Sus scrofa: one gene and its partners. The protein of the gene in region 2 purifies or fractionates together with the protein of the main gene of each other region. This does not show direct contact. Links are inferred from orthologs where the notes say so. Each region holds a gene or a part of one and is shown on either strand. Other genes may lie near its edges. The genes, in order: DOCK4, GRB2 and PTPN12.

Region 1 (3,647 bases), on a different chromosome or scaffold from region 2:
GGTGCAGGGAACTGGGGCTTCCCGTTAGGAAAGTCAGGTGGTTCTCCTGGAGGGATCGCCTTTTGGGTGGCACCCTCTTTGCCATGCTACCCTTCTCTCTCCCATCTGGTTCTTCTGTGCTCATCCCTTCCTCTCCCAGATTGTCAAAATCTGTCAGGGAGGAAGTAACAAGAGAACAGGAATTCTATGACAGTTGCTATGCTTCAGTTGTTTTTGTTAAAAAAAAAAAATTTACATTATTCTTGTTCACTTATTATAATGCAAAAAGATAGAGCTGCTATTTTAAAAAGTCTTCCTGCTGTGAGGACCTAAACCGAGATGACTATAAACTTGCAAGTTTGCTTTGTTCAACTATCAATAGTGCTTAATTCCTTTGATTTGAGTAGCAGCTGTCTTTTACATTTTAAAAAATGCACTACAGTGGTCAAAAGAACAAATTCCAGAGGCTGACAGGAAAACAAATCACACATCACCACGACAGTCCTTTATCTTTACAGCCTGTGAAGATTCAAGGTTGAAAGCTCAGGTCGAACAGGACTGACCCTGGAGTGTCAGAGCACCCAGCCACCTGCCTGAGGGGTCAGAAGTGTGGCACCTTCTGCTCTGGAGGCCCCACCACCACCAGCACATTTGCATAAAGATAAAAATGCCTTGAAATAAACATCAAGGACACCTTGAAAGGAACAGCTTGAGTGGCGTGTCTGTGTAAGGCATAAAGGGCCAGTGTGGTGTGTGGAGAGGGAAGGAGGGATGGAGCAGGTGAGCCCAAGGGCAGGGGCCTCCTCCATCGCTGACACCAGCTGGGAGGGGCCCTCCCTTTGGCCCAGATAGCGTTGGGTTGGCTTCTCCCGGAAGCAGGCTCTGACATGGAGATTAGGCTGTCTACGGGGATGGATCCTTGGGGTCGCTGCCTGTGGGAGGGAGGGAGGGCAGAGATGGGACGTGACCAAAAAAGAAACTCAACGGCATGACCCCAAGGGAGCGCTGAACCTTTAATGGTCTGTCACGTGGCCAGGCTCGGTGTCCCCTCCTCAGTCCCTGGATGCAGGCCACTCAGGCTAGGTGGCTCCCAGCAGCAGAGGCAATCCTTGAGGACCTGAGCCCAAGCCCAAGGTGGCTTCCAGCAGCTGGGAGGCCACAAGTCCTTTGTGGAAGGAGCCGTGGGGCAGTGCCTCGCCACAACTGTTCTCTGAACCAGCTCACAGAGGAGGCGGTCCAGAGAAGGACAGGCCCTCTCCAGCCCAGGCCGCTTTCCACGGTCCCACAAAGGCGATGTGGACCGCCCAAGGTGACCTGCACCACCACAAGGCGATGGAGATTTAATGCTTCTGAGGCCCTGGCTCTTGCCACAAGTCCCCAGGGACACAATTGGGCAGGATGTGGAGGAAACAAAGGTCTCTGATTTTATTTTTCTTGAGCGGTTTCCTAATCCCTTTGATTTTTCTAGGGAAAGAATTCAGTCAGACTGAATACACCAGGTAAGAATCCTGGGGTGGGGCAAACTTTTAAACATCCACGAAGGCCAAGGTCATTCCATAATCCCAAGTACTGGATTACCTAAGCCACTCCCTTCTAGAATCTACATCACCCCCAGGGCCAGAATGAGAATTTAACTTATTCTCTATTTCCTTGCAGGTCAGCGTCTAGTAATTCCTCTCTCTTTTCCAGAAGCGGTATCACTGACCCTCTTCCAGCCATGGCCCTTGTCCATGGCCATTTCTCTCCCTTCAGTATGCAGGTTTGAGGACTAAGCCTATGGAGCATAAACTGTGAAATAAAACTAGATACGACCTTGTTATTTCCTAATCCAAAAGAGTGTGCTTTATTTATTAATTTGGTATTATCAAGTATTATTTGGTACTATCAAGGAAAGAGACGCTTCTCTCACATTTTATCATGCATGTTCCATTTTTCATGGGTATAAAATATCTTCATTTCCTATTGAAGCCAGCCTCCCAACCATAATGTCTCACACCTCAGAGGTTTTCAAACCATCTTCAGGCCAAGAGCTAATAATTAGTAGGGGCACAAAGGCAACAGATTATTCACTTTGGTTCTTCATACTTGATGGGACCAAAGAAATAAAAACAAACTATGCTTCTTGAAGCAGAAAATGATGAGGTTGTATTTAGTTTTTGTCTATATCGTCTAATCTATAGGCTTAGCCTGCACAACGTGGTACTGTTTTAAAGCAAAGGGTATTGATTGTCTACTTCCTTATGGTGACGTTTAAGTAAGAATTTCATTCATTCATTACATCATTTTATTTTGAGTTGGCCTGAACATATTCGATCCCCAAATCTTGAGTGAAAAGTGGGCACCAAGCCCTTGGGGAAAGAGCATGCAAAGAAGAGACTTCATGAAGTTGTTAGAAGGAGCTGTTGTTGTCAACTCACAGTTTTTTTTTGCTTGTGTTTGTTTGCATCAAAGTGGGAAGAAAAAGTAGAGATTAGCAAATTGAGATATATTACAAGCAAATCTATAACCCTTGACTGCTAGCTTCAGTGAGAAGCTAGCATTGTAGAAAGCCATGTAGGTGGGATTCTGGGTAGGCAAACACATGTCTACAGAGAAGAGGGGGGAAGGCGATGGGCTTCTGTCCCCCTTACCTGCTCCAGCATCAGCTCTCTTAACCGTGCAATTTTCTCTCCATCTTCAGGGTGACTTAAGATATAGTCTTTGACGAAGAATGCCTAGTAAGAGAAGGGACAGTCAGTTTACTTCAAGAGTGTTACAAAGGAAGTGAAAGACACAGTTGTGTTTAAAAACATCTTTAAAGAAATGACACCATTATCCGTCACTTTTGGGGCAGAGGAAGTGATTCTGAGTGTGGTCAGCTGGTCAGATAGGAATAGAAGGAAACTATTGTTGAAATGAGATCAGAGATTATACACGCTTTGCATTTTGGTAAAACAAAGAAATAGCAAATGCAAATCAATAAGCTTTATGACATTATATCCTAAAATAAACTGCCTCAAGATTCTGAATGATCAAGATGGTGGCCTCACCTTCTAAGCTACTGTACCTTTCTGTTTAAAACTAAGACAGCAGGTGAAAAGTCCAGTATCTTCCAAACAGGGTCAGATTTTTCTATGTCCAAGAACCACTGTTTGCTCAGGGAAATGGTTGTACATAGACATTTATTAAACAATCCTGCTACCCTCACTACTTTTCTTCATTCAATAAAACATACACACACACACACACACACACACACACACACACACTTTTATCCTCAAAATACCACATTTTGAAAAAAGGAGTAAGTGTGCATTACAAATGACTAATGTTCTATTTAAAAAATAAACCTGTTTGCGTTAACTGCAGCCCTATGTTAACAGGCTGATGTGCATGTATATTTTGAAAAAAATACTTCTGAAACCTTAAGACATCACATATAAAAATTTTCAGACATCAGTACCTAATCCTCACCTCTTGATACCTGGAAACTCCACCATTAACCGCAGCATCTATAACTCCGTTCAGGCACATGGTCAGGGGATTAATATTCTGCATCTGTCTGGTCTGACACTGACTAATCAGAGTCTTCAGCTGCTGATTCTTGTTTTCCAATACTTCAATTGCATTTTCCAGAGGACTCATTTCTACCTGAGAACAAATGAGCATAAATATATATTGGATTTTGT
Region 2 (3,747 bases):
GATGGGAGGAGCGGCGACCCCTCGCCTCTCCTCAGCCTTCTCCAAATAATTCTGACCGTACTTATGGTATTATTTGTTCTTTCCCTCCTATAGATCTTGAATTCGTTTCTGTGCAGAAAGGGCCCGGATTTCTGTTCTTAGTTGGACCCTCTATACTTGACACAGTGCTTAGAATGTACTAGGCACTTGGTTCAATCGATGAGCGAACGAATATGTTCATTCACCTAACGCAGCAGAGTTTGTTTGGACCAGATTCTCAAATATTTCCAGACCTGATCCTCTATTTGGCTTGCTTCACGTGGGAGGGAGATTCCCCCCCAACCCCGCCAAACTGGGTTGGTGGAAGGGGAAAACGAAGTGATTAGGGTGTGCATAAAAGTCCTTTCTTGGCTGGGGGAAAAATGTAATTGTAATGTATACATGTAAGGATAACCTGACCCCCTTGCTGTACAGTGGAGAAATAAAAAAAAAATAAGTTGATATCGGCCATCAAAAGTAATATGACAATTGAATCATGCAAATGTGGGGCATAAAAAAAAAAAAGTCCTTTCTTTCGGAGGTGAGTTGTAATTGACCCGCTCTGGCACCGAAAGGGTTACGGCGACCCAGGGGTGGAGCCCTGTCGGTGCCACCTGCTGCGGGGCGGCCTGGCGCCTGCGCTCTGGCCTGTAGCTGATCTACCTGCGGGGGGCCTGGCGGAGGAGGAGCGCTTGCGCTCTGGGCCTTTTCCGCCGGGGGAAGTCTCGCGGGGGCGGGGCGGGGCGGGGCCGCACAGGGAAGTTCTCGCGGGACCCCGACCAGGAGCGGAAGCGAGGCGGCTGTGCTGCTTCAGCTACCGGACCGCGGCGGCGACGACGAAGACTGTGGCGGTGACGGCGGCGAGAATAGGCGCTGCCCTCGGGGAGCAGCAGAGGGGTCTGCGGCCGCTCGCACCGCTGCAGAGGGGCCGGCCGGGCGTGGAGCGGAGCAGCTGCGCCACGGTGAGTGTGGCTGGCGGCGACGGCGCTGCTCGCGTGCTGCTTCCTCCCCGCTTCGTCGCGGGAGTCGGCCCCGGGGGACCGGGCCCAGGGTACCGTGGGCTGCCGGGCCTGGGGGTCGGGAGTGCGAGGCTCCGGGCGGGGAGCGGAGCGCCCGGGCTCCGGGCTCCATGTTTCCCCTTTTGGGGCGCTTCCTTCCCGGGGACCGTCCTCTCAGTACCCTTGGCTTGGAACAGAGCCCTGGACGAGAGGCTGGGGGCTCCTGATTTAATTTTATGCTTTCTTCGTGAAGGTTTGCACAGGGGGGACCCGGAGAAGCCCGAGAACACAGGGTAATCATTCTGTGAGTCAGTGTGACTTGGCCCGGGAGGCGGGGGATTCGAGGCGGGTTGCAAATATGGTGATTGATGCTCCTTCGACCTATACGGCCACCACGTCACCAACTCCTGGTGTTTGGGGGCCGAATTTTGGGAGGAAACCCACCAACCCTATTAATACTGTGAGCGAGGACGTTTGTTACCGGAGCCAGTAGAAATACCTTTACTTTTATTGCGCTTTTTTTTTTTTTTTGACTGCTTCCCTAAAAACATTTGTTAAGAAAAGTAAGCAGCAGTTAATCGGAATGCTCCGAAGAAAGATTTCCGTGATCGAGGGCAGAGAATCGCTGGCACTTTTCATTTGCAGCTCTCTCTGTGTATAGGATTGTAAAGCCATGCTAGTTAACAGCTTATTTAGGGAGTTCACCTAGGCTGGCTTCAGATGCAGCAAAAGTATACTTTGCAGAAGAGCCGAAGTGCCCTCGCGGGTTCTGTCTTTTGCTACTCTTGAGTCTCAGAAGAGGGTGGAAAAGAAAGGCGCACTAGAGAAATTCGCTTTAGTCTTCTGGGCTTTCTAGTCCCTCTGTTCACTTTGCACTCCACAGTTGCTGCCTTTCTAAACTTCTCCCTTGTCTTCTGCGGCCACGAAATGCTTACTCCGTATAATGCAAGTCACTTGCCCCCTCCCCCCTTTTAGTCTAATCTACTTCCCCTTCCTCCTTATTGTCCCTTTTGGCATAATTTTTTGAGGTTTCTGCTCTTTCGCCCGTTCGTTTTTCTCCCTCATTTAAAGATTCCGTTTCTCTCCCGGAAAGATGATGCCCTCTTCCCTGCTTTATCCTTTGCTGTGAAGCGTCCACTGTGTTTCTTCAGTCAGCCAGAAGGGTTGCTAGAGAGCTGTGCGAGACTTAAGGTCTCCCCCTGGGAGCTGGGAGGCTCAAAGGATTGAGTTCAGCCGTAACCAATACTGCACTAATACTGCACTAGATCACAAGTGTAGCTTGCTGGTGTTTTTGTGTTTTAGTTGTTTTTTTTCACTTTTAGATCGCATTTTTGTGCCTGCTCAGGTTTTTCTATGTCTCTCTTATGTTAGTAAGGAAGATTGGGTCAATTTGGGGCTCATATGCCTTCTTTTTGGCTTTTAGCGGGGGAGGCGACTTAAAAAATGAAAACCAACCATAGACACCTATATTACAATCAAGAGAGCTTGAACCATTTAAGGGAATAGAATTTATTTAGACTACTGATGAATTAATTAAAGCTTGCCTGTTGGAGTAGTACTAACTTATTCTTTCCCAGGCTTTTAAAGATCAGGTGTCTCTTCCTGCATCTGCTATAAGCAGCCTTCTTTGTTATTGTTGCTGGGCTTGAGGGGGGAAGGCGGTTGACAGAAAGAAATAACTATGTTCTGTTGGCCTTTCCTTTGTTTAAAATGTTCTGAATCCCCCAAATTTAAAAAGGTTAATTCTTGTAATCAGCTTTGTTTGTTACTAAAAGCAAGCACTCAAATGCTTGAGGCAGTTTACTTCCTCAGCAAGTGTGTTCAGATTTGAGGGATTACTAGGTTTTTCAATACAACTAATTGATGGTACTTAGAGATTTTTCCCCGAAATTCTTGTTACCATGTTGCACATTGTGTAGCAACAGTTCTAATGGTTACTTAGAACAAAAAAGTAATAGATTTTGGAGAAATGAAGTAATACGGAATAGAGACCCACTATGGTTTCCTGAGAGAAATTAATAGTTATTCGCTTAATTCAGAAGACATTTCTGGCACTCCTGAATGACTATTGAGAGCCTTTGTTTTTTTTTTGTTTTTTGTTTTTTGTTTTTTTTTTGTCAAAGTTGGCTTTTTCACAGTTGTGCCAAGTGGATAGGCGTTATTTTCAATTTATGCAAAGACATTATGCATCATCTGAGATGTAAACTTTAAAATCTGGTAAAGATACCTTTACAGTACAGCATGATTTTTTAAATTTAGCATGCATAAGAATTACCTATGAATCTTAACTTAAAATTAGGTTCTGGAGTTCCCGTTGTGGCTCAGTGGTTAACAAACCTGCCTAGGATCCACGAGGACGAGGGTTCGATCCCTGGCCTCGCTCAGTGGGTTAAGGATCCAGTGTTGCTGTAAACTGTGGTGTAGGTCGCAGATGCGGCCCCATCCCACATTGCTGTGGCTGTGGTGTAGGCCAGCGGCTTCAGCTTCAATTCTTCCCCTAGCCTGGGAACTGCCATATGCCACAGGTGCAGCCCTAAAAAGACAGAAGACCAAAAAAAGAAAAAAAAAATTAGGTTTTGGGCCTAAGGCCACTGTGCTGCAGAACTTCAGAAGGCACCTCGTAGTGAATCAGTCCCTGAAAGAGGTGATTTTGATGTAGCTGGTCCAAGGACCAAAACTGTTGTTACAGAATGCATCCATAAATTGAGATGGTAGTGTGGCTTTAAATTAC
Region 3 (3,747 bases), on a different chromosome or scaffold from region 2:
AGGCATTCTTAATTGTTATTCTATAATTTCCAAATCTGAAACAGTGAACTTTATCCCTTTACAAATGAATAGGGTTATAATAGCTAGATTATCTTTAAGGCTCAATTCTAAAATGCTAAAATTTAAAACTGCATTTTAATCCAGTCAGAATTTAAGAACAGAAAAGTTAGACTCTATCAGCTCTTCCATGGCAGAGAGGATATAGTTTCCCTCCAGCCTTCTAGTCAAGGGAAAAGACAGCAACAACCAGCAGCCTTAATTATATCTACAGCTTATCAAGTCACGGAATAAAGAAAGCAAGCACTATAAAAGAACAGCCTTAGTCATCAAATCATGTAGAATCACCTAGCTATCCCAGAAGAAAAAGGAAACTCATTTAGTCCTAGAGAAAAGAAATCTCCAATAGGAATCCCTGACTCATCCCCAAAGCATGAACCCTAAGGCCACTTCCCCTGCACAGGAGTTCAGAGACTGAGCATTTGTCCTGATGGCCTGCATTTCCAAACAATGCTCCTTCCTGACAGGATAGGCTCCTGGATAGCAAGAAGACTAGCATGGAGAGGAAAAGTGGCCAGGGACCACATCACCTCTTCTTCCATAACCAAAACAAGATTGTAATTAGTCTGAAACATATAACATATTCTAAGTTAATATTTTTTTCTATTTTTGCTAGAGAGTCAAAAGGGGACTCCATTCAATTACTGTGGTATCATTCCAAAAATAGCAACACATTCAAAATTCTCAGAGGTAAGAGGGAAAAATGTCCTCTTTTCCTTAACCTTCTCAGATCAAAAACTTGTTTTTCAAAATACATGGGCTAAATAACAAGAGAAAAATGTTTAAAATAGGCATAAATTATTTAATCAATATTTTTTTCCACCTTGAAAAGATACTATGGAAACCTACCTCCTAGCCTCTATTATTGGTCTAGGGAGGAGGGAATCAACAAAGCTCAACAATACTGTTACAATATTGTGTAAGGTCAGGGATCTTATATATATATAGGTGTTAACAATTTTAACATTAAAAATTTACTAGATTGGAGTTTCTTTAAAATGTGAAAAGGCATTTTAGTACTAAAAGCCATTTCACCTGCACCTTGTAAACAATTAAACTGTACTTTGAAACAAAAAACAAGTCAACGTTTGCTGCTCAGTCCTTTTTATAGACATAAACTATGTATCCTTTTTACGATCCACAATTTCAGACTTAAGTGATTATTCTTCGTGTATCTAGCCCCGGAGCAAAATTTTCCCTAGCGTATTTCCCATTCCCAAACTCCGCCAAGTCTAAGGAGCAACCACTTCCCAAAGTCCCACTTCCTTTTCCATTCCCCAGACCTCCAGGGTTTCCAACGCCCCAGTCTTGCGCAACATCCGCAGGAGCAGCAGCCGCAACCACCGCCTCCTAAACCGAGAAACAACCCTAAAGGGAACATTGTCCAGCAGAAAAATAAAGGGGGGGGGGTAATGGAGGAAGTCGACTTCTGGTCCCACGCCTTCGGTTCTGACCCCATCACAGTGATGACCCAAGAGCAATTTCACGCACAAGACTTTTAACCTCGTCTCCAGCCCGCCAGCACAAGCAGAGGGCGGAAGCGGTGGGAAGGGGGGTTAGGATGGGGGTAGGCCTCGGAGGTTATCTCCCAGTTCAGGGCTTCGGCCCTTACCGTCGCCTCCGCCCCACCAGGACTATTGTTCCCAAGTTCCCCACCCCCACCCCGGATAGGAAGTGATAGTCACATCCCCTCCGCCTTCAGCAATATCCCCTAGGGAGTCTGAAGTAGGCTTCAGGATAACCACCCCCGCCTCTACACATACACTTTACCCCCTCGACCTCAAGTCACGCTGACCCCAACACCATCTCAAACCAGGGTCTCAAGCGACGAGACGGGTAAAAAGAAATTGAGTAAACCAAGAGATTTCTTTCGAGCAATCCTTTCCCATGCGTTGGAGATAATAATTGCCAGTCCAGAAACGGCAAAAGTCCTACCTTGCCCACTTCTGAGCCCAGCTTGAGCAAAGGGACCCCGTGAGTTAATTGCAATCTTAATAGCCACGTTCTGCCGTCAGCCAAGATCGCTCTCCTCCCTGCCTCGACCCTCCCAGCAGGGGCGGTCTGGACGGGGAGGTGAGGAAAGACTAGCCCCCCGGCCTGCACCTCATTCGCCTCGGGCTCCCGGCCCGAGAAACAATAGGTGGTCGCGGGCGGCGGTGCTGAGTGCGGGCTCGGCCGGCCGCCTCTCCCTTCGCGTCCCAGACGCCGGCGGAAAGGGACGCGATCGCGGGAAGAGAGGAAAGGAGGCCGAGGGGCGGAGGCGACCTCACCTCCCGCTGGCCTCCGAGACCACCCGGCCTTTGGAGCTGGTGCGCGCCGCCTCCGCCCCTCTCCTTACAGCCGCACACAAAGCACTGGCGGCCCGGGCCGGCTGGGCAAGGCGGCAGTGGGCTCCGGTGCCGGCGAAAGGAGGCGACAGCGAGGGGAGGGACTCACCATGAAGTCCCGGGCGAAGTTGTCCTCCCCATTGTGATCCGGACTCTTCATGGCCTGGACCCTCTGGATGAATTTCCTCAGGATCTCCACTTGCTCCATCCTCCCGCGTCCCCCCGGCTGCGGTCGCCGGCCCCCCCGCCGCCCGCCCGCCCGGCGCAGAGCCCGCTCAGTCTTCCCCAGCTCGCTCCCCCAGCCCGTCCCCTCCCTCCCGACCCCCGCCGCTCCCTACTCCTCCTCTTTGCCCGAGGCAGCGGCAGCGGCAGCGGCAGCGGCGGCCGGCTCCTGATCCTACAACTTGCAGGAGCAGCCGCCGCTCTCCCACAGTACGAGGCGAGCCGCTGCGGCTAGCGCCAACCCCAACCCCCTGCGTGCCCCATCCTCCTTCCCCGCCCTCCTCCAGCTCCGTCGGAGACGCCGCCACCGCCTTAGGAACACGGCTCTCCGATCGCCCTGCCCCCCCCACCCCTTCCCGGTTCCTCCTTCCCTCCCTCCCCACAAGCAGCAGCAGCCGCAGCCGCCTCTCCCCACGGGCGCGCCCCCGCCGCCACCCAGACGCGCGGCCCCGTGCCGCGGCTCCGCCCCTGGCGCGACGCCGCGCCTAGCCGCCCCCGCAGTCCACGCCCCGGAGCCCGCCCCGCGGGCTCTGGCCGGGCTAGGAGTGGCTGGAAGAAGCTTCGGCAGTCGGCTGGGAGACTTGACTCCACTTCCGGGGCGTGGTCCCACCCCGGCAGCTAGTAGGTCTGAGGAGCGCTAGAATGAGGGTGTTAGGCTAAATGGCAAGCCCTAGTCAGTTGGAGTAGGACTTGAGTTGGAAATTACGGTCTCACTGCTTACTAGTGCGAAAAGCACATTTCTAGAGTGCTTCGCCGTCGCCGCCAGCCTTGAGTTGGGACTACAAGTCCGGGTTCTCAGGAGTCCAGGAATGGGGGCGGGAGAGGGCGTTGTGGGAAGAGTGGCATGCTGGGAACTGTAGTAGCGTTGACTCCACGTTCGCTGCAGGTACGTCTTCATCTTAAGGTTGACTGCAGTTAGACGTTGGCACTTTGGGTAATGACCAAGGCCAAGAGAAGCGAAATGCTTCTTCAGTGACAGGACTTAACCCTTTTGCAGTTGTGTTTAAACCCTGCCGAGTGAGCGCCTGAAGTGCGGGGTGCGTCCTAATACATACCACGCATGTGATAGGCACTCAGTGTTTGCTGAATTGAAAGGATTTTTTCTTGCCTTTATATTCGCAGCACCTCGGAACTGAATAAT

The links.
Region 1: the proteins of GRB2 (region 2) and DOCK4 purify together in Homo sapiens (co-immunoprecipitation; 4 studies listed by BioGRID and IntAct, counting the BioPlex papers as one, with this or other methods). This does not show direct contact. The link is inferred for Sus scrofa from reciprocal best matches to the Homo sapiens genes GRB2 and DOCK4.
Region 3: the proteins of GRB2 (region 2) and PTPN12 purify together in Homo sapiens (affinity purification with mass spectrometry; 3 studies listed by BioGRID and IntAct, with this or other methods). This does not show direct contact. The link is inferred for Sus scrofa from reciprocal best matches to the Homo sapiens genes GRB2 and PTPN12.

The regions. Positions count from the first base shown.
Region 1 is NC_010460.4:33,860,185-33,863,831, reverse strand, and holds part of DOCK4 (dedicator of cytokinesis protein 4), read right to left. Parts: intron 3,610-3,647; coding exon 3,433-3,609; intron 2,694-3,432; coding exon 2,610-2,693; intron 1-2,609. UniProt on the Homo sapiens protein: Functions as a guanine nucleotide exchange factor (GEF) that promotes the exchange of GDP to GTP, converting inactive GDP-bound small GTPases into their active GTP-bound form. Involved in regulation of adherens junction between cells.
Region 2 is NC_010454.4:5,939,874-5,943,620, forward strand, and holds the start of GRB2 (growth factor receptor-bound protein 2), read left to right. Parts: upstream 1-849; 5' UTR 850-980; intron 981-3,747. UniProt on the Homo sapiens protein: Non-enzymatic adapter protein that plays a pivotal role in precisely regulated signaling cascades from cell surface receptors to cellular responses, including signaling transduction and gene expression.
Region 3 is NC_010451.4:102,561,047-102,564,793, forward strand, and holds the start of PTPN12 (tyrosine-protein phosphatase non-receptor type 12), read right to left. Parts: upstream 2,700-3,747; 5' UTR 2,593-2,699; coding exon 2,494-2,592; intron 1-2,493. UniProt on the Homo sapiens protein: Dephosphorylates a range of proteins, and thereby regulates cellular signaling cascades. Dephosphorylates cellular tyrosine kinases, such as ERBB2 and PTK2B/PYK2, and thereby regulates signaling via ERBB2 and PTK2B/PYK2.